Nothobranchius furzeri: one gene and its partner. Each later gene encodes a partner of the first gene's protein in a complex. Links are inferred from orthologs where the notes say so. Each region holds a gene or a part of one and is shown on either strand. Other genes may lie near its edges.

Region 1 (10,571 bases):
ATTAAAGGGACAATGTGTATTTTCCCTGGCAAGAGGTATTTTTGTATTTGAGTAAGACTTTACCAACGGATGGCCATTAGGGTCAAAATCCCTGGGAGTGCAACCTCCAGCAAAATGACAAGCACACCAGACTGCCTTTCATCACAGGGAAAGAGCGAAGAGGTAAATGTGTAAAACAACAACATTTACGAATGGTAAAGGTTTTCCAACTGTTTCTTACAAATCAGTAACTGCATTTTGTCCTCACGGGCTCCCATAGGAAGAAACATGACATCTAATAGGACGTCGCCCAATGACTTAGACCTGTTTATTTTAGACCCGATTTTTTATTGGGTTTATGTTACAAAGCTTCCAATATTTTTCAACAAATCTGCATACATTAATTTCTTTTCAACAACATTTTGATGGATATTTCCAGAGATTCATGGTAAAAACTACTCATTGTCTCTTTTGCAACTGCAGTCTATGGCTGTGTCCAAATTCAGGGGTCGCGTGCTCATGAGGTCATAATTTAAGACCAGTGACGTCACAGCGCCGCGACAAAGACTGTCAAAATTCAAAGAGTGCTCAGAACAGGGGTGGGCCTATTATTAAAGGCTAGACTGTCCAAATTCACAGTTGTTAACATCTGGCCTTAACAGTCCCAGAAGAATGTGTGTGTGTGTGTGTGTGTGTGTGTGTGTGTGTGCGTGTGTGTGGGTGTGTGTGTGCGCGCGCGTGTGTGTGTGTGTGTGTGTGTGTGTGTGTGTGTGTGTGTGTCCCTCCACACAGATGCACTCTTGTGTCTGGCTTCCTCACCATAGCTTGGACAGGAGATAGACTGGGGCAGGATGTTTGGGAAGACTTTTTTATAGCAGCTTGCATGATATTGCACAACATAACTGCAACAGTGGCCCCCTTGTTGTTGCTTTACACAACCGGTTAGTTGAACAATGTTTTTTTGTAATGTCTCTCTCAGGTGTACGAGTTTGCTGTAAAAGAGGTTCTGATTCATCGCGTCCCTTTGGAAGATGGAGGCATCTCGCCACAAAAGAAGAAAAGAAAACACAGGCAAGATCCTGACTTTTATCACCCAGCATGGAAACGGTAGAAACGATGTGTTTGCTTGAGCTTGTGAGTGAACCACTGGACAGATCCCAGCCTGGAGTCATTTGATGCTCATCCACTACTCACTGACCTTTGGAGCCAACTTGAATTTCCATTCCAGCCAAGTGGGCTTAGTAAACACCAAACAGGCTGTTGGATTATTTGTGTGATATAATCTGACCTGGGTTACTCTGCTCCAGAGATCATACACATCATTTAACCAAAAATTTAAAAACTGTCATTTGTCAACAAATCAAAAATATAAGCTAGCTCTCTTCAGTGGATGAGGCTAGGCTGTTTGATATATATATATATATATATATATATATATATATATATATATATATATATATATATATATATATATATATATATATATATAGGTCCTTCAAAAATTTTTTGCATATTGTGATAAAGTTCAGTATTTTCTGTAATGTACTGATAAACATTAGACTTTCATATATATTAGATTCATTACACACAGCTGAAGTAGTTCAAGCCTTTTATTGTTTCTAATATTGATGATTTTGGCGTACAGCTCATAAAAACCCAAAATTCCTATCTCAAAAAATTAGCATATTTCATCTGACCAATAAAAGAAAAGTGTTTTTAATACATAAAAGTCGACCTTCTAATAATTATGTTCAGTTATGCACTCAATACTTGGTCAGGAATCCTTTTGCAGAAGTGACTGCTTCAATGCGGCGTGGCATGGAGGCAATCAGCCTGTGGCTCTGCTGAGGTGTTATGGAGGCCCAGGATGCTTCGATAGCGGCCTTAAGCTCATCCAGAGTGTTGGGTCTTGCGTCTCTCAACTTTCTCTTCACAATATCCCACAGATTCTCCATGGGGTTCAGGTCAGGAGAGTTGGCAGGCCAACTGAGCACAGTAATACCATGGTAAATAAACCATTTACCAGTGGTTTTGGCACTGTGAGCAGGTGCCAGGTCGTGCTGAAAAGTGAAATCTTCATCTCCATAAAGCTTTTCAGCAGATGGAAGCATGAAGTGCTTCAAAATCTCCTGATAGCTAGCTGCATTGGCCCTGCCCTTGATAAAACACAGTGGACCAACACCAGCAGCTGACATGGCACCCAGACCATCACTGACTGTGGGTACTTGACACTGGACTTCAGGCATTTTGGCATTTCCCTCTGCCCAGTCTTCCTCCAGACTCTGGCACCTTGATTTCCGAATGACATGCAAAATTTGCTTTCATCTGAAAAAAGTACTTTGGACCACTGAGCAACAGTCCAGTGCTGCTTCTCTGTAGCCCAGGTCAGGCACTTCTGCCGCTGTTTCTGGTTCAAAAGTGGCTTGACCTGGGGAATGCAGCACCTGTAGCCCATTTCCTGCACACGCCTGTACACGGTGGCTCTGGATGTTTCTACTCCAGACTCAATCCACTGCTTCCACAGGCCCACCTCTTCTCGTTGTGCAGCGTTTTCTGCCACTCTTTTTCCTTCCCACAGACTTCCCACTGAGGTGCCTTGATACAGCACTCTGGGAACAGCCTATTTATTCAGAAATTTCTTTCTGTGTCTTTGGCCTAGTCCACACGTAGCTGGGTTTTTTTAAAAACGAATATCAGCCCCTCCAAAAACTTGCATCCACACCACCTCGTTTAAAAAAAAAACTGTCCACACGTACCCGGATAAATACGTTGTTAAGGACATGCCAGACCTGTAGGCGGCAGTACTTCCCCCGTTCTTAACCTCGTCCTTCGTCTGTGGTCTTCCGCAAGGAGCAGTAATTCCACTTGCAAAAACAAACAAGCAAAAAGCGCTTGGACAATTGATAAAGCGAGCGTAGCTCTGAGGGCATCCATGCTGTCGGCTAGTGTAAACACAGGTCGCACACGTGATGTCAGCATTTTTTTGTCGCGGAAAGTGACGTTGCGGACCTTACAACTCCGGTTTTGTTTGTCCACACGCAGACACCCAAAACGGAGAAAACGCAGATCTTCACTTTGGCCGGAGTTTTTAAAAAGATCCGTTTTTGTGTGAAAAAACTCCGTTTTCATGTGGATGACAGGCCAAAACGTAGAAAAATATCTACGTTTTGGCAGATCCCCGGCTACGTGTGGACAGGGCCTTACCCTCTTGCTTGAGGGTGTCAATGATGCCCTTCTGGACAGCAGTCAGGTCGGCAGTCTTACCCATAATTGCGGTTTTGAGTAATGAACCAGGCTGGGAGTTTTTAAAAGCCTCGGGAATCTTTTGCAGGTGTTTAGAGTTAATTAGTTGATTCAGATGATTATGTTAATAGCTCGTTTAGAGAACCTTTTCATGATATGCCAATTTTTTGAGATAGGAATTTTGGGTTTTCATGAGCAGTATGCCAAAATCATCAATATTAGAAACAATAAAAGGCTTGAAATATATGAAAATCTAATGTTTATCAGTACATTACAGAAAATAATGAACTTTATCACAATATGCTGTTTTTTTGAAGGACCTTTATATATATATATATATATATATATATATATATATATATATACATATATATATATATATATATATATATATATATATATATATATATAGTTTGTTTTGTTTTGTTTTTGTTTCTTGTAGAACTGTTTCCTAATAATTGACAAGAATTTAGCATCTCTGCAGACATCTGGAGAGGCTCTAATTAAGTAAACATGTGTATTTTTCCTTGTTTACCGTTTCAGATTGTGGGCAAAGATCCAGCTAAAAAAAGGTATTATACAAAAATCACAGCTGCCAACTGGCACACACATTACAGCTCACAGTCTTGTTTTGGGGGGTTTTGTCCTTTGTTGCTCCAGATAACTCGTCCAATCAGGTGTACAACTATCAGCCATGTGACCACCCTGACCACCCGTGTGACAGCTCCTGCCCGTGTGTGATGACCCAGAATTTTTGTGAGAAGTTCTGTCAGTGTGAGCACGAGTGTGAGTGTCACCTTTCTCTCCAGCTCCTTGTGAAATCAGGTTGTCTCACATCAACTGTTTTCTTTCTGGGTCGTTGTGACATTTATTTTATTCCCTGAAAGCCGTTTAAAAGACCTCTTTACTGGGTCGGCGTGGATCAGAGCTGCAGGCTGGAATGTGTTTCTGCAGCAGAATAGAAGCTGTCATCTCGTGGGCATAGGTGTTTATCACAGAGCTGCACCTGAAACGAGACACATCTTCTGCGGCAAAATAGTGTTTTCTGAAATGGCCACATGGTGGAAGGAACTTGTTGTTTTTTTATTTAGCTCTCTGGAAAGATATCAGTCCAGACAAAGCAGAACATGAAGTAAACATGTGGCTGAAAGAAGGTTTTAGGCTCAAATTTTCTTCATGTTGTGGTTCGGTCACCTACTCCCCTCCTCCATCTCCTCATTATTACCACACCTTTTCCCGTAGCAGAGGAGCGCCCGGGCCAAACAGGAAGCTGTGCTCATTTCCACATGTGTGCGCTTTAAAGGCTTGGAGAGAAATCAAAGAGATGTCACAAGCTCTGTGGCAGAAATGCAGCATCATCAGTATGAGTCAAACTGCTCCAGCGGAACAAAGCTCGACAAGACAGACACGAAACCCACAGAGGCTAGGAGGAGTTGGGATTTAAAGGAACCACGGAGCTGTCTGGACTTCTTGTTATGGACAATTTCCTTTTACGTAGAAGCTTCTGGGAAGAGATTTCGGATCACTTTTGCTTAAGCTTTGGCTTCATCTGCCCAGAGGGTGTTATGTTACAGTTTTCAAAATTGCATTTGGGCATATCTGCCAGCAGAGGTCTCATGACTGATGAGTCCATCAGCGTAGCCCACCCACTTACCGTCGCTCACATGCTGCAGCTGCTAGATTCAGACGTTCCAGCTGTTATGTTTTATTTTACAGTGTACATTTAAACTTTGTACTTCCTGTCTGTGAACTGGTTTTCAGGCCAGAACCGCTTCCCAGGCTGCAGATGCAAGACTCAGTGCAACACAAAGCAGTGTCCGTGCTACCTGGCCGTGAGAGAGTGCGACCCCGACCTGTGCATGACCTGCGGAGCTGCAGACCACTGGGACAGCAAAGTGGTTTCCTGTAAGAACTGCAGCATCCAGAGAGGCCTAAAAAAGGTTAGTCTGAACATTCCTCGATCTGATATGGTGAGAGTGTGGAAGGTGGGAGCTGGTGGGAAACAATCTGATTTATCTTCTAGCACTTGTTGCTGGCTCCATCAGATGTAGCAGGGTGGGGAACATTCATCAAAGAGCCTGTTCAGAAGAATGAATTCATCTCTGAATACTGTGGAGAGGCATGTTCACTTTGACCTTTATTCAAATGGGTCACAGAGCTTGTGCAAAGTTAATTCTTCTCTTCTTTTTTTTCTGAGCAGCTGATCTCTCAGGATGAAGCAGACCGACGTGGAAGGATCTACGACAAATACATGTCCAGCTTCCTTTTCAACTTAAACAATGGTAAGTTTGTGTTTCTATAGCTTTCCACAGGCAAACAGGTTCAGCGTGTTGACAGAATCCCGTTGTGTCCCTTTAGATTTTGTTGTGGACGCCACTCGAAAGGGTAACAAAATCCGTTTTGCGAACCATTCTGTGAATCCCAACTGCTACGCTAAAGGTGACTTGGTTTGATTTGGATTCAGCGTTTTCCAAAGAGTTGTGTGAGCTGATGTTTTGTTTATTACTGTCCCAGTCGTGATGGTTAACGGAGACCACCGGATTGGAATATTCGCCAAACGAGCTATCCTGCAAGGAGAAGAGCTCTTCTTTGACTACAGGTAGAGTCACGGGCCTTTTTGTGACTCTCCATCAGCTTACAAGTAAATTTTAAAAAAAGGAAAACAAAGCCACTACATATTGTTTATTTAGTGGCTTTTAGTTGTGTATTTTACTAATTTTCTCCTTAATGTTCCTCCCCCACAGATACAGCCAAGCCGATGCCCTCAAGTACGTCGGAATCGAGAGGGAGGTGGACTTGTCTTAGCTTTGCTGCTGTACTTACAACCTGGCTTTTGTTCCTCATCTCTGTCATTATGCAAGCTTTTACTGCATTCATCATGCTGATCAGTGAAATGCATATGCTGTCTTTGGACACGGATATCAGTTTCATGCGTTAGCTGCCGCAGTAGCTTCAGTCAGACGCTCCTCTCATGCACCCGGCATTCTAGATGATGTTGCACCCTGATTGGTCTTCAGAAAAAAGCGTGTCCAGGTTTGACAGCTTGGTTTGTTTCTCAATGAATATGTACAGCAGCTAGCATCACAACCACATCTATGTGGGTTTAAAAAAAATGTGCATTTACGTCAGCGTTTTGCAAAAATTATCAAAAAATTACAGGTAACCCGATGAGAAACCGACTGACTGAATGTAACGTGTTGATGACTCATTGTTTTTTTTTTTGTTTTTTTTTTTTACATTATTGGTACTTAAAGAAATGTGTATATCTGAAATATTTAGCATCATGTGAATATTATCACACATTACCAGGCAAATTAATGGTAAATAAATTAGTCTCAGATTAATTGTCTTCCTTTAAAATCGAATTAAAAAGTGCCAAATAATTCCTCACGTATATGCTAAATAAACTTGCATGTGAAATGTAGCTTGGTTTCCATGTCAAGGTTATAACAATAGTGATGTATGATTATGAGTGTTTGACCAAATATGGGCGTCGCATCATGTGAAACATTCATTTATCATGTCTATAATTTCAGACCCACATTATTGTCCACACTGTTGTTCAGTTATAAAACAAATGGCTCACTACCTTCAAAATAAAAGTTCTCATGGAGCTGAACACAATGAAGTTTATTGCTGTGTACAGTGTATGCTCATAAAAATAAAGGTTTAACTTTATATGATATTAATGCTGTCTGTGTTCTTATGTGCTGGATGGAGCCAAAGCGTGAGGATAGTCTTTACATCCATGCATACTCCTGAAGTATTTACTGCTATTTATGGAGATTATCTTAGGCTGTTACATACAGGGTATCCGCCGGTCCTTAAAAAGTCTTAAAAAGTCTTAAATTTGCTTTTCCAAATTTAAGGCCTTAAAAATCCTTAAAAATTACAAATAATCCTTAAATACGGTTTCCAAAGATCTTAAATTACCAAAGACCCAATAAACAAGATATTTTTATTTCTATAAAATTTTTGTGAATTTCTAGTTAGTGTTCAGCATTTTTTGTGTATGATGTTGGCGTAAGCGGAACTGTACACATTCAGTTGATTGTGAAAGGGGGCTGTTTTTAGATGAGCACATTAGCTGGTTAAGCTAGTGGGAGCTTGCATCATGGGGAAGTGCAAGTTTAATGGTAACTGGATGGCTAATCCCACATTTGCAACATGGTTAGCACCTGTTCCAGGCATTAGCTGGAAATTATAGCTTAAATGAAATTTTAAAAAATTGCTTACATTTCGTCAAAGTGGCCTTAAAAAGGTCTTAAAAGTCTTAAATTTGGCTCCCTTAAACCTGCAGATACCCTGTACATAAATTATAGTGAAAACACACTATAATCTTAAGTTTATTTCTGGTTATTTTACCTCAAACTTGCCTTACGACCCCAACTGCGGAACCAGTACATCACCTCCAAACACAACACCTGCTTCCTTCAAGCGTCTTTTAATTCAGATGACGGTTTAGATTTGAGTTGATTTACACAGTAATGGTCATTTACAGTGAAATTATTACAAAACCGACAGAAAAATAAGATCTGAATATGTTCAGAAACAAAACTCTGCTTGCTTGTATTGTCTGGTGATGCTGAGACTAATTCTGCTGCTCCCTCTGGTGACCTATGACCTCTGTCAATGCTGAAAGAGTAAAAGTTCACTTATTGTTTACTACTTTAATATTTGTAAAACAGAACAAATAAGCCCAAAGTATAATGAAAGTTTTGTGTTTAATCTTACACATACTGTATGTTGTTCAGTTAAACGTAAGTGCAGGAAGCCTCAAGTAGCAGACACCCTGTCAGAGCAAACTTCTTGCTGGCTAGCCACGTCTCACTCTACTAGTGTCGGTGCACCACAATACCACTGAAGAACTGGCCTCAACTGCACTTTTAACATCTTATGGTTGCATGTTGATGAGGAAACAATAAAACACACAAACATTGGGAAGTCCAGTCACACAAACTCCAGGGACCACAATTATCATGAGAGGCATAAATAATGGGACACTGCTGTGCTGAAAAATCATAAGAAAGATCCAGTGAGATGAGTTCATATCATAAGCACGTGATTTTCTTTGCTAAGTGGCAGCAAATCAAGTTTGTTGAATTTTTTTGAAAACATAGAACATTCTGTGCTATACACACAAAACAGTGATTTCTTTCTGTTTGCTCCATATTAGACTTTCATTCATCACATTTCCAAAAATATGTCCTGAAAATGCAAGTTTTGAAATCTCTACAGGTTCATACATTATTAGCAACTTTGTGTTTTTACAGTTTCTGTACATCCTCTCACTGAACCATTTTACACAGTCCTGCCCATCTGTAATGGAGGGAAACCAACCATGTTCTGGAGGTGGTTAGGTCTACAGAGAGCAGGTGCTGCGCTTCCTTTAACCTGAGCGATCTAAAAAGCTTTTCTTTCATCGAGAACAAAAACATCGGCAGGTCTGCTCAGACGGAGTCAGAGTTTACATTCAAAGCAAGTGTAAAAACCCTAAACATCAAAAGTCTTTCAACACGTTATTCACGGTATCACCTCCTGTATGCAAATGAAGAGAGAGACATTCACAGTTAGTGACTGGAAGAAGCTCATTAAAGCTTATTGCATGTTTCTGCTAAGTGCGGTCATGCTCTACGTATGCATAGCTAACATGTCGCAAATGTATTTCTTCGTCAGCAGTTTGTCTCACACACACACACACACACACACACACACACACACACACACACACACACACACACAACAGGTCTTTAGTGTTAAGTAGAGCTGCAGCGATTGATAGCTCGAGGCTTTGGTTGCTACACACACTAAAGGACATTTTGTGTCACCAGTGACAGAAATCTTATACAATGTGTTTAATATTATTTTTTCTCTGTAAGCAGCTAGCTCACCAAGCAGCAGCAGCAGCAATGATAATGTGGTCAGCTGCAGTGTTGAGCAACATTATTCTAGCAGTGTCAGAAGTAAGAATTTACATTATTGTGGTCCACTGTACAAATGTTGTTCTTGTTGTGTGTGTGTTCATATGTTTGCTTTCCATATGGCCATAAGGAGCAGCTGTTCCCTGATATCTGTCCCACAAGGAAGATGAAAGGATTGTGGAAGGACAGATTTTTTAAAATTATTTTGTCATTGGATATTTGCTGAGTCAAACACTCTGTAGCACCAAGCCGGTGGCAGCTTGACTGTAAAATTAGAGTATTTACTTCCCTTGAAGAACCTGTTAAGACGGTCTTCAACTCCCACATCTGGCAGAGCTTTGTCCACATCCTGAGAGCAGTGGGGGACATTGACTCTGAGTGGGCCTTGTTCCACTCTGCGATTGTTGAGGCGGCTGTCGCTAGCTGTGGTCGCAAGGTGGCCGGTGCCAGTCGTGGTGGCAACCCCCATACCGACTGGTGGACACCAGAGGTTCGGGGAGCCGTCAGGCTGAAGAAGGATACCTACAGGGCGTGGCTGGTCTGTGGGTCTCCGGAGGCAGCAGACAGGTACCGGATAGCCAAGCGGGTTGAAGCAGTGGCAGTTGCCGAGGCAAAATCTCGGGCGTGGGAGGAGTTTGGTGAGGCCATGGAGAAAGACTATCGATCGGCTCCAAAGAGGTTCTGGCAAACTGTCCGGTGTCTCAGGAGAGGAAGGCAGCAACTCGCTCACACTGTTTACAGTGGGGATGGGGAGCTGCTGACGTCAACTGGGGCTATAGTTGGATGGTGGAAGCAATACTTTGAGGAGCTCCTCAATCCCACCTATGTGCATTCCGAGGAGGAACCAGAGCCAGGAGGCCTGGGGATGGACTGTCCAATCTCGGGGGCAGAAGTTACTGAGGTAGTAAAACAACTACACAGCGGCGGAGCCCCGGGGGCGGATGAGATTGGCCCTGGGTATCTCAAGGCTGTGGATGTGGTAGGGCTGTCGTGGTTGACACGTCCCTGCAACATTGCGTGGTCATCGGGGGCAGTTCCTGTGGAGTGGCAGACCGGGGTGGTGGTCCCCATCTTTAAGAAGGGTGACCTGAGGGTGTGTTCCAACTATAGGGAGATCACACTCCTCAGCTTCCCTGGAAAGGTCTACTCCAAGGTACTGGAGAGGAGGGTCTGATCGATAGTTGAATCTCAGATTGAGGAGGAGCAATGTGGTTTTCGTCCTGACCGTGGAACTGTGGACCAGCTCTATACCCTTGCAAGGGTGATGGAGGGGGCATGGGAGTTTGCCCAACCAATCCACATGTGTTTTGAGGATTTGGAGAAGGCTTATGACCATGTCCCCAGGGGCACCCTGTGGGGGACGCTCCAGGAGTGTGGGGTGGGTGGCTTTCTGCTAAGGGCCATTCAGTCCCTTTACCAGAGGAGCGT
Region 2 (10,820 bases), on another chromosome or scaffold:
AGAACGCCCTGAAGCAGGAAGTTCTGGAAACGGTGCCGCACGATCAGAGTGAGTGGCTTTAAAAACCGTCGGCCAGGAGAGTTTGGACCTCTGACGCCTGACTGAGTTTGTGTTTCAGTCCCGGTGGTCTGTGGCTCTCTGCCCGACGTCTACGTGGAGAAGCTCCTGGGCTTCGTGGCCGATTGTCTGGAGAAGTCAGGTCACCTGCAGTTCTACATGACCTGGGCCCAGAACCTGCTGATGCTGCACGGACAGAAACTAAAGAACAGGTCGACACGGCTGCCTCGACTCGCATCATCATTATCATCATCAGTGTCTTAACTGGATCTCTTATGGTCCGCAGGTCTGGCTCGGTTCTGCCCACGCTGCAGGCGCTTCAGAAGAGCATCCAGAGACACTTTGACAACCTGTCAAAGCTGTACGTCTCAACACTGTTGCTCCATTAATCATCATAACTAAAATGAAGCATTAAGTCATTAAATATATATATTTATATATATTTTTTTTCCACAGCTGCAACTTCAACATGTACAACATCCGTTACGCTGTGGCGCTTTCAAAGCAGAAGTGTGTAAAGAGGCCTGCCGAGGAGGAGGAGAAAGAAGAGCAGGATGAAGGGTTGTCGGAGGAGATGAGCGAAGCCTCTTTAGATGACTCAGAGATGATCTTGTAGTCTGATTACTAAAAATGTCTCAGATTGACAGATGTTCAACTGTAAAAGTCCATTTTTCCATACTTTAAATATTAAAATAGCCTGTTTTTATAATAAATTCAGTAAAAGTGTCTTTCTTGTTTTTGGCTTTTTTCTGGTAAATTTATTCATTTGAGAGGCTGCTACGGGTTAATCTTTCAATTTGGCACGCAAAAAATATTTTTGGAGTTATTTCTTACTTATATTAGAAATTTACACTTAAAGACTGAATTGCCATTTGTGGTTAAAACTAGCTTTGCTGGGCAGTATTAAGTCAAAAGAAGTATTTCTAGAAATATAAAAGAACAAATCTAAAATATTATTTTTATTTAATACTAACAAAGGTAAATAGTACGACATTTTCAAGGAAAAAATACATTTTTACAGCTGAAGAATGTGGAAATATTGCCTTGAAATGTCCCAAGTTACTGTGTTAGACATTTAAATGTACAATTTAAGAGCAGAATGTATTCTTTTTAACAAATAGGTTGTTTAGGGAGTTAAAAAAAACACGGGATTTACTATTTTTAAACCGATCTGAATCCTGTCCAAAGTGAAATAAAGCAGAAAACTCAAAAAGTGGAAGCTTCTCCGTCAGTAACTAAACGTGACCAACAGGGGGTGACAGAGCGCCTTCTGAAAGTTCACCTTGCCTTAAATTAGATTGAAGAAGAAGGAACAGCGGGCGGGTTAGCCTTCGGAGCTAAAATGAGAGACAAGAGCCTGTCTGAAGCGGGAAAAGAATTACCGGCCAAAAAACAAAAACTAAGCAGTGACGAGAACAGCAACCCCGATTTGTCAGGAGACGAGAACGTAAGAGCTCTATAAACATTTCTGCAACTACAAGTGAACGTTTTAGCCGGTTAGCTCAGCGCTAAAGCAAGAAGCCGGAAAGCTAAAGAGCTTAGCTAGCTGGCATCTTTGTTCACCTGCAGCTGTGGTTCTGATGGTGGTAATGGCTCTAAATCAGTCTATGTGACCCACAGAAGCATGGGCTTTTATATTTAACCTCAAAAAGCCTGGCTTGTTCGATTTAGCTTCAGCAGGAGTGATTTAGAAGCTTGTATTTATTTACAAATTCCTAAAATAAGTGTTCAAATGCAGTTTATAATGTTTATTTTTCATTTTGAGGAAAGGAAAAACTTGCTGGTAGTCTGTTTTTCATGTTAAAAGTGCTTCAAACATTTGTTTCACTTATTTCTGTCCAAATAAAGCCTAGGTTTACTGGTACTTGTCCAATAAAATGAATGTGGTTAGGTTGGGTGTTTTGTTTTGGACATCTTGTCTTTCAGTAACCGCATCTCTGGTTTACAGGATGATGCGGTCAGTGTTGAAAGTGGGACCAACACTGAGCGTCCAGACACCCCCACCAACACCGCCAATGCCCCAGGCAGGAAGAGCTGGGGCAAGGGCAAGTGGAAGTCCAAGAAGTGCAGATATTCTTTTAAATGTGTTAACAGTTTAAGAGTGAGAATGTCTGCTGTTCTAAATACATTCAAATATCATCATTTACAGAATTTAGTTTACAGGTGAAGTGGGAGTGAAACTTTGTGGATATTTTTCAGGAGGACCATGGCCAGCCACTGTTTGGAGTCCAGTTTAACTGGCACAGTAAGGAAGGAGACCCACTGGTGTTCGCCACAGTCGGGAGTAACAGGGTAACCCCAAGCAGACAGATTTTATTTGGCTTTTTCTGGGTGTTTTCATGAATTTTTCTAGTTCAGAATCAATTTTCTGCTCATCAGTTCCATATCTTGCATGATAGAAAGATGGTGATGCCTTTCAAGCAATCAGACGTCCTTTTGTGTCTGATAAGCTGCTTCAAGTGTCCTTAATTTACTGTTACAGAAAATAAGAGATTTGACAAATTTTAAAGAATGATGATTATTCAGGACTTTTTTCATTAAAAATACACATTTCTTGTTGTGAAAAACATTTAGTTTTACATAAATGATATTTCTGATTTCTCTAACAGGTAACCTTGTATGAATGCCACTCTCAGGGAGAGATCCGACTGTTGCAGTCGTACGTTGATGCAGATGTATCCTTCCTGCTTTGGCTCAAACTAAACTTCACAAAAAGGAATCTGTTGTTCTTTAATTTAGATACAGATCAGTAAATGAAGATTTACAGATATGTTAACCCTTTAAGCGCCAAAGTCGCAGAATTGCGACAAGCAGCAATGTTGGATTTAATAAGCCACAGCAGCAGAAATGAGCCCTCATGCATGGGGAATGTGGTGGCGGTGATCGGGCCGTTGAAAACTCTGCTGGTGATCAATTCAGCCCCTGTCTATCAGCTATCCTCTATTATCTATCTATATCTATCATCTATCTAGCTATCATCTATCTAGCTATATAAATGTGTGTATAATAATAATGATTATGATGACAGTAAAAGATGTGTTCAGCAAAGGAGGTCAAGTTCACCTTATCCAGCTAACAGAGTTCAGATAAACATAACTTCACATGTTTTTGACGCATGACCAAAGCTTTCTTCCTGAGAGAGTGGGTGTGTCCTGTGAGTTTGGTAAAACTAACCATTATAGTAACCATGTGTGTGTGTGTGTGTGTGTATATATATATATAACAATTATAAACCAAATAAACTATAATTAAAGAAGGGATGAGTGAAATGTGTTCATGACACTGAAGCACCAAAAACAGTGTTCTTGATTGATACGCAGTAAACATAACAAAATACCAATAAAGTAATATGTGTATATATATGTATATATATATATATATATACACATACATAGTTATATACATATTCCTATGTACACATATATGTATCATAAACAATAACAACACTAAGAAAATAAGACAAACAAATCCGCAAATGTGATGCAATCCAATATGGCTGCTATCTGATGATGTCATAGTATGAAAATTGTGTGAGTGAATTTGTTCCTATCACAAAATTTGGCTCATACTGAAGATTTTTCTAATTTACAATATTCCTCTATCTCTAACCAGATTTAAGCTACAAGCTCTTTAAGTAGTGATATGAAAAACTTATATTTTACTGAAAAAACTATGGCGCCTAAAGGGTTAATCATCTTTTTCTCAACATCTATTTTGGAAAGACCCAAGAGTTGATCAGTAGCTGCAGAAATGTCAGAAACTTTTTGATTTCTGCGATTTTCTTGACTGAACGCGTTCCAAGGCAGATGAGAACTTCTACACGTGTGCTTGGACCTATGACACCAACACCAGCCACCCGCTGTTGGCTGTAGCCGGGTCCCGCGGCATCATTCGGGTCATCAATCACATCACAATGCAGTGCATCAAGGTAGTCTTCCTGTAGAGAACCTCTTTGAAAATGTGGCTTTGAGGGTCATTTAGTAGTGTGTTTGTTTCCCATCCAGCACTACGTGGGTCACGGGAACGCCATCAACGAGCTCAAGTTTCACCCAAGGGATCCGAATCTTCTCCTGTCTGTCAGCAAAGGTAAAGCCCCTGATGGTGATGGTCATCGACACGCCTCCAGATGCTCCTGGATCTTTTCCCTGACAGATTCAGTGTTTTTAGTAAAAGCTTACTTGTGTGAAAATGAATAAATGATGATTTGTAACATTTGAAATTTTCTTTAGATCACGCTCTTCGTCTGTGGAACATCCAGACGGATACACTGGTGGCCATATTTGGAGGTGTAGAAGGCCATCGAGACGAAGTCCTGAGCGCTGTAGGTGTTTCATTACATTTGATCACAATTTAAACTGTCAGATTTTAATCGGAACAGAAAACACGGTTTGCACTTTTTGTTGATGCTGATTTTGACTTATTTTTATTTTATTTTTTTAAAGTATTTTTGAGGTTTGTTTTATATAAAATGGGTCAGTATTCAGCCTCAGTTCAGAGAAGAGGGTTATTTCCTTTAGGATTGATGAGCTAACGGCTAGGTACACTAACAGTTTTTTTTAATGCGGTGCTTTTCAAAATAAAAGTCAGGCGCACCACAAGAACAATGAAACATTAAAAATTGATCAAACTAGGGCTGCATGATATTAGGAAAACCTGCGATATTCGATAACAGTGATTAATATTGCGATGACGATATTACTTGCGATAAATAAAAACTTAACTCAGGAATAAAAATAATCAAAAACAAAGAAACAAAAAACTGATAAAAATGAGAAAAGCAAAAGATGTGAGGAAAGGGAAAAAGAAAAGGGAATCCGTGGATCCCGGGAAAACCGGAATCAGCAAAAAGAGCAGAGCAAAGCTAAGTCAGGTGTTTGCTAACCAGCACAATTAAGTGCCGTCCGCCTCAGGGGCGGTCATCTGACCTATGAGAACCCACCCGATTGGCCAAATGGGTGCAGAGCTCTATTTGATGTGTTAAAAAAACATCATGCTTCCGTTTGACTGACAGAATAAATTGTGTAGAAAACATTTGAGCTGACCGTTCATTGCGATATTTATCTGTTCTTTGCGATATGCATATTGTGCATCATGATATCGCGATAACGATATATTTACGATATATTGTGCAGCCCTATATTAAACAATAATAAAGATCAAGCTAAAATTGCACTAAACACAAATCACAGCATTATTTCATAAACCTGTAGGCTGTAGTTGGTCTCAGCAGAAATATTACTACATTTCTGCCAGGTTTGACCTGGATTCCAGTCATTATTGTTATGTTTTCTTTTAAAATAAGACTTTCTGTTCAAAGTCGGTCTTAAAATGTCCATTTGAAATGTTTTTGGTGGACTTGCACAGTTTAGATTGTGCATAAATGACCTAAATATTATATGAACAAGATGTTTGCCCTGAAATGTGACGGCTAATGAAGACACCTGGAACCTGATTGATGGAAAAATAAAAAAATCAAGGTGCACTGAAGTGATTGTTAGTGATCCAAGATGGAGATTTTCTTCTGCTGGAGCTGAAAACCGTTTTTGTTAAATAGAGTTTTGTCTTTTGTTCATTTCGTAGGATCTGATGAATTTTACTTCCAGGAATTGTAACAAGAATCTCTTGTTTTCATGCGTCAGGATTTTGATCTGCTGGGTGAGAAGATCATGTCCTGTGGGATGGACCACTCGCTGAAGCTCTGGAGGATCGACTCCGAGCGAATGCAGAAAGCGATTCGCGGCTCATACGAGTACAACCCCTCGAAGACAAACAGGTGAGGGGGCCCTCCTGTGTTGTTGTTGGTGGCGTGTCGTTAAAATAGTCTCGATAATTAATTAAATAAATCAAATCACCTCTTCAGGCCGTTTGTCTCGCAGAAGATTCACTTCCCCGACTTTTCAACGCGAGACATCCACAGGAACTACGTGGACTGTGTTCGGTGGCTGGGAGATCTGATTCTCTCAAAGGCAAGAGGAATTAAGTTTAGTCTGCTGGTAACAGCCGATGTAGACTCCAAACTTGACGCTGGTTTTTCTTTCTGCAGTCCTGTGAAAACGCCATCGTCTGCTGGAAACCAGGGAAGATGGAGGACGACGTCGACCACATCAAACCCAATGAGTCAAACGTGACGATTCTGGGGCGGTTCGACTACAGCCAGTGTGACATTTGGTACATGAGGTTCTCCATGGACTTCTGGCAGAAGGTGGAGGAGCTTTTCGTCTGTTGGTGCGTCGGTATTAGTGGAGGATGTGTTTACTGGATGAGCGTGTGATCACACAGATGCTGGCTCTGGGGAACCAGGTGGGGAAGCTTTACGTTTGGGACCTGGAGGTGGAAGATCCTCACAAAGCAAAGTAAGTCTCCTTTTATCAGACGCGTTCCTCCGTTCACTCACGCTAAGGAGATTTACTTACACGCTGGTGTTTGATTTTGGATGAGTTAAGAGATGTTTTTCAGCTTTGAGAGTAACAGGAAGTTGGAGGTGTGACTGGTCTGGAGGCTTAAACGTGTCAAAAATTTTAAATGAAGTCTTTAAAACTAATTATCCAAAGTTCTTCAAACATTTCAGAGTTTCATTGATAATATAAAGTTTTAGTGACCCAATAATAAAGCAACACACCATCAAAAAGATCATCTGATGCTTGACGAGGACGGTTATTACTGGCGGACACCATGCTGATTCATGCGATGGAGGAAAGAGAATTAGGTCATCACAACTGGAACGTCAGCGACCTGAGATGATCAGTCTTTCATTCTAAATGGAATCTCCTTTTTCTGACCGGTTCTTCTAAAATAAATACGCTGTTGGAGTTGAGATATCTCAGCTGACGACAGCTGGGACCTGGATCGAGAACAGACCAACAGTTTAGGGTTATTAAAGGACATGGCTGCTTTTAAGAAGAGTCACAAACGTCCTGGAATCTCATACATGTAGAGATATGTATGTTCATGGAACCATCTGGTTTGTTGCTCTTCAGGTGCACCACGCTGACCTTCCCTAAATGCACCTCAGCCATCAGACAGACCAGCTTCAGCCGCGACAGCAGCATCCTCATCGCCGTGTGCGACGATGCATCCATCTGGCGTTGGGACCGGCAGCGCTGAGGATAGTGAACCAAGAGAAACGTGTTTCCTGTTGCTCCTGTTCCCTGACACATTGCAGGAAAAAAAAAACATTTGTCTTTTCTGTAAAAGATGCACCAAAGAAAGATTTTATCCAACAACAATGGATGTTTTAAAATAAAAAATACAATTATTGGTAATTTCCTTTGTGTGCCTTTTATAATTTATTTACAGGAAATAAAATAAGTCGAGGAACACAATTTGAATTCAAGTTTCTCAAAGAGGCAAAGCTATCAATTTTTTTTCTTGCACTGTGTCAAGCTTCATATTTTTACGTTTTTTCTTGTCTGTTTTACCGTCTCGTCTGCTTTTATTTTCCACACAAAACATAACTGCTTACATTTAGTGTTTTTGGCATCTTCCTTCTATGAGTTGTCAATAAAAGTTTTTTGTAAATGTGTAGGATTCAATTTTTATGGAAGCTCATTTTTACCACTTAGAAGAAAAAAGTCAATATCTCAAAGATCTGTTTAAATTAAAAATGTGTAGTGGGATAACGTGTAATTTTTGGATGCACAGGACCAGTTCGTGTGGGCCAGATGCTGAAAAATAAATTCATAAATCTGTCTTTTTAACTTTCACAAATAAGAGAAAGGTTTCACAAATCAAGCTATTTTTATGCATTCTGCTACAAGCCTAGAATAATCTAGAACAGGTTTGAAGAGTGTACGTGTTGTAGTATTTGAGCTAGAGCAGATTAAAAATGGTCAGAATAGAGAAAAATTGTGTGTATTAGCCATTTCCCGAATCGGAAGCTATCTAGCTTGTATGAAAACTAGTGATTGAAACCACTTACAAATTTCTGAAAATCTACGTTTTTTTAATTAAGAAAAAAGGGTATTAACGTTTCAGTCAAGTCAGTATTAGAATCGTGGTCTTTATACATGGACGTAATTTTCACTTTAGAAGTGTGTGTGTGTGTGTGTGTGTGTGTGTGGGGGGGGGGGGGTGTATCTTTACAGTATGTTCTAATAGGAAACAGGCTTCAACACAAATGGTTGTTTTCTGCTTGGTCCTAGAGCTCAACCAGTGTCAATTAAATATAGCGTAATATTGTTTTTGGATGGTGGAAAGTGCAGGGGTCAAAGCTTGACTTTGGAAAAAGTGGGGGGGACATGCCCACCCCCCCACCCCCCAAATTTACGTCCATGTCTTTATATCACATCTAAATTATGTATAAAGTTAATATTATTACTTTAACTGTTTTAACAAACGGAGACCAGAAAAATCAAATAGCTAAGTTAAAGCTAAGCTACAATTGCTGACTGCTTTATATATGTAGCTTTTGTGTTAGCTTGTGAACTCCCTGCATTAGTTTTAAGACTGCATGTTAATATTGATACAATTACAATTCTCTGGTGAAGCTTTAAATGCTATAGTGCCTACTTTTAAGAACTAAACGGTTACAACAATTAGTTAATTTCATCCTTACCTTTCCTCTTTGAAACTCGCCGAGTTTTGTTGAAACAAAAGCGGCCACCAAAAAAGACCAACTTCCGGCCGAGGTCTTTCGCTCGTCGATTTTCCGGTAAAAGTAATGACACGCCATCTTGTTCTCGCTAGAAAGTTCTTCCGGTGACACGCCGTCTGATGTCTGCAGCCAGGTTCTACTCATTTCTTTTGCACCCAGCTGCGAGTTAGAACCATCCACTCTCAAAAAATGTGTCCTAACCCTTACCCCAACCCTTATCCTAACCGTAACTCTGAATAAACATAAAAACTGTGCTACACATATTTTCAAAAACTATATTTATGCAAAACATACATTTCTGGTGCCGGGGTTAGGGTAAGGGTGAGGGTTATTTTTGTGATTGGGTCGTTTCCACTTGCTGCTGGGTGCAAAAGAAACAGATCTCGAGGGGTGAACACATCGACATTACACCGGCACCTCACGCGACCAACGTGTGCGCAGGGTTCAAATTACGAGTGAGCTGAAGGGAGCCTGGCTGACCCATAAAGGGTGACAGGCTCCCCCATAGATATGTATATAAACACGTGTTTATACACATATCTATGGGCTCCCCTGGAAGCCATCGACTTACACACCCAGGGGGAGCCTGAAAAATATCCTGGTTCTACTTATATTACATTATTTATGCAGACTCTCCGGGGATTATTTTGAGCTGAGAGGCGCAGAGCCGGCGCACTGCGCGCACTCTGCTATTTTTATGGTTGGTAGATCGCTGAGGTGAAAACATGAAGCCAGGTAGCAGTTTTTCTTTGGGATTGAGAGGAGATGCAGGAAGATGATAGACAGGACAGAAAAATAGTCAAATAAAAAACAAAACAGTGTTTGAAAAGGTTCATTTAGGTAGATTTATCCCACTACACGTTTTTACTTTCTAAGGCAATAATTTATAAGTACGTAATACCCTACCCTCGTAAGACCATTAGGCATTTCGAGGGCCATGGCAAGAATAAAGCCACTTTCAGTGCGTCTTTGTGAAATATTGGTTTAATTTTTTTCTCTCGGATGGTCCTGCTGAGAGACAGCTGCTTTCTTTTTTCTTAATCCGGTGGACGTTCAGTGTTTTGCTGAGACAGCTTATGTGCTGCCGTTTTGGGCGCTATTTGTACCTGGTGTTTGCAACAAACAGACACCACCGAGGGTGGTCATTACACAGAGTGAGGATGTCATGACTCCCAATCTTTCAGCCTTCATGCAGCACACCTGGTCCCCTCATCAAGCTCCAGCCAAGCCCTGTTTCCCTAGCAACCTCAGCCTGCACCTCATCTACTCCATTCATCTCACCTGTTCCTCCTGCTTTATAAGAACCATCCAGCTATCCAGTCACTGCCAGATTATTGAACGCCATTTGCTAGTAAATCTTCCAGCCATTCACCCTGCCTCGTCTCAGTCTCCGGACCTCGTTTTCTCGCCTGACCCCTGCCTTGTACTCTGCCTCCCATCACGACCCTCACCTGTCCTCTACCTCGTCTCCAGCCTGTTCCCTGTACCTGCTTGTCCGATCTGGTTTTGCACCTCACCTCCTCTCCGACTCTGTCTCCTGCCTCGCCCTCTACGGTAACGCCATATCTAATAAAGACTTGTAAGGAACTTTACTGTGTTTGGCGTCACTACTGGTCTTCTGAGTTCTGTTCGTGACAGAGGAACAGAAAATTAAATTATTCTTTCAATGTTTAGAGCACCAGGGAACTCAGAGGCTGCATGCACACTAGGGAGTTTGCGGCCACTGCGACACACTCCACACCACGGCAGCGCCTAGAAATTCTGTCCATAAAGGTAATGAACAGAACCGGTGACAAAGGGCAGCCCTGGCGGAGTCCAACCCTCACCGGGAACAGGTCCGACTTACTACCGGCTATGCGGACCAAACTCACGCTCCTCTGGTAAAGGGACTGAATGGCCCTTAACAGAAAGCCACCCACCCCATACTCCTGGAGTGTCCCCCACAGGGTGCCCCTGGGGATACGGTCATAAGCCTTCTCCAAATCCACAAAACACATGTGGAATGGTTGGGCAAACTCCCATGCCCCCTCCATCGCCCTTGCAAGGGTATAGAGCTGGTCCACAGTTCCACGGCCAGGACGAAAACCACATTGTTCCTCCTCAATCAGAGATTCAACTATCGATCGGACCCTCCTCTCCAGTACCTTGGAGTAGACCTTTCCAGGGAGGC

The links.
Region 2: the proteins of ezh1 (region 1) and eed are in contact, whole or in part, in a cryo-EM structure (PDB 7KTP), measured with the Homo sapiens proteins. The link is inferred for Nothobranchius furzeri from reciprocal best matches to the Homo sapiens genes EZH1 and EED. Residues at the interface, in NP_001982.2 of Homo sapiens: Gly37, Ala38, Lys39, Leu41, Tyr42, Val43, Asn45, Phe46, Lys48, Val49, Gln50, Lys52, Thr53, Gln54, Leu56, Asn57, Glu59, Trp60, Leu63, Arg64, Val65, Gln66, Pro67, Val68, Gln69, Ser70, Met71, Cys83, Thr84, Ile85; in NP_003788.2 of Homo sapiens: Cys84, Val85, Asn86, Ser87, Leu88, Lys89, Glu90, Asp91, Trp103, His104, Ser105, Lys106, Glu107, Val112, Arg120, Leu123, Tyr124, Gln129, Gly130, Glu131, Ile132, Arg133, Leu134, Leu135, Gln136, Ser137, Tyr138, Val139, Asp140, Tyr154.

What each region holds. Positions count from the first base shown.
Region 1 is NC_091745.1:7,466,565-7,477,135, forward strand, and holds the end of ezh1 (histone-lysine N-methyltransferase EZH1), read left to right. Parts: intron 1-958; coding exon 959-1,050; intron 1,051-3,765; coding exon 3,766-3,794; intron 3,795-3,882; coding exon 3,883-4,008; intron 4,009-4,983; coding exon 4,984-5,162; intron 5,163-5,245; coding exon 5,246-5,341; intron 5,342-5,422; coding exon 5,423-5,504; intron 5,505-5,580; coding exon 5,581-5,661; intron 5,662-5,736; coding exon 5,737-5,821; coding exon of another isoform or gene 5,822-5,825; exon of another isoform or gene 5,826-5,863; intron 5,864-5,966; coding exon 5,967-6,027; 3' UTR 6,028-6,907; downstream 6,908-10,571.
Region 2 is NC_091743.1:86,053,453-86,064,272, forward strand, and holds eed (polycomb protein eed), read left to right. Parts: upstream 1-1,330; 5' UTR 1,331-1,399; coding exon 1,400-1,504; intron 1,505-2,005; coding exon 2,006-2,158; intron 2,159-2,256; coding exon 2,257-2,349; intron 2,350-2,666; coding exon 2,667-2,732; intron 2,733-3,859; coding exon 3,860-3,985; intron 3,986-4,061; coding exon 4,062-4,143; intron 4,144-4,286; coding exon 4,287-4,378; intron 4,379-5,696; coding exon 5,697-5,830; intron 5,831-5,917; coding exon 5,918-6,023; intron 6,024-6,100; coding exon 6,101-6,259; intron 6,260-6,336; coding exon 6,337-6,410; intron 6,411-7,034; coding exon 7,035-7,161; 3' UTR 7,162-7,579; downstream 7,580-10,820. Other genes in the region: pwp2h (PWP2 small subunit processome component), read left to right, coding at 1-48, 119-269, 344-418, 514-673. UniProt on the Homo sapiens protein: Polycomb group (PcG) protein. Component of the PRC2/EED-EZH2 complex, which methylates 'Lys-9' and 'Lys-27' of histone H3, leading to transcriptional repression of the affected target gene.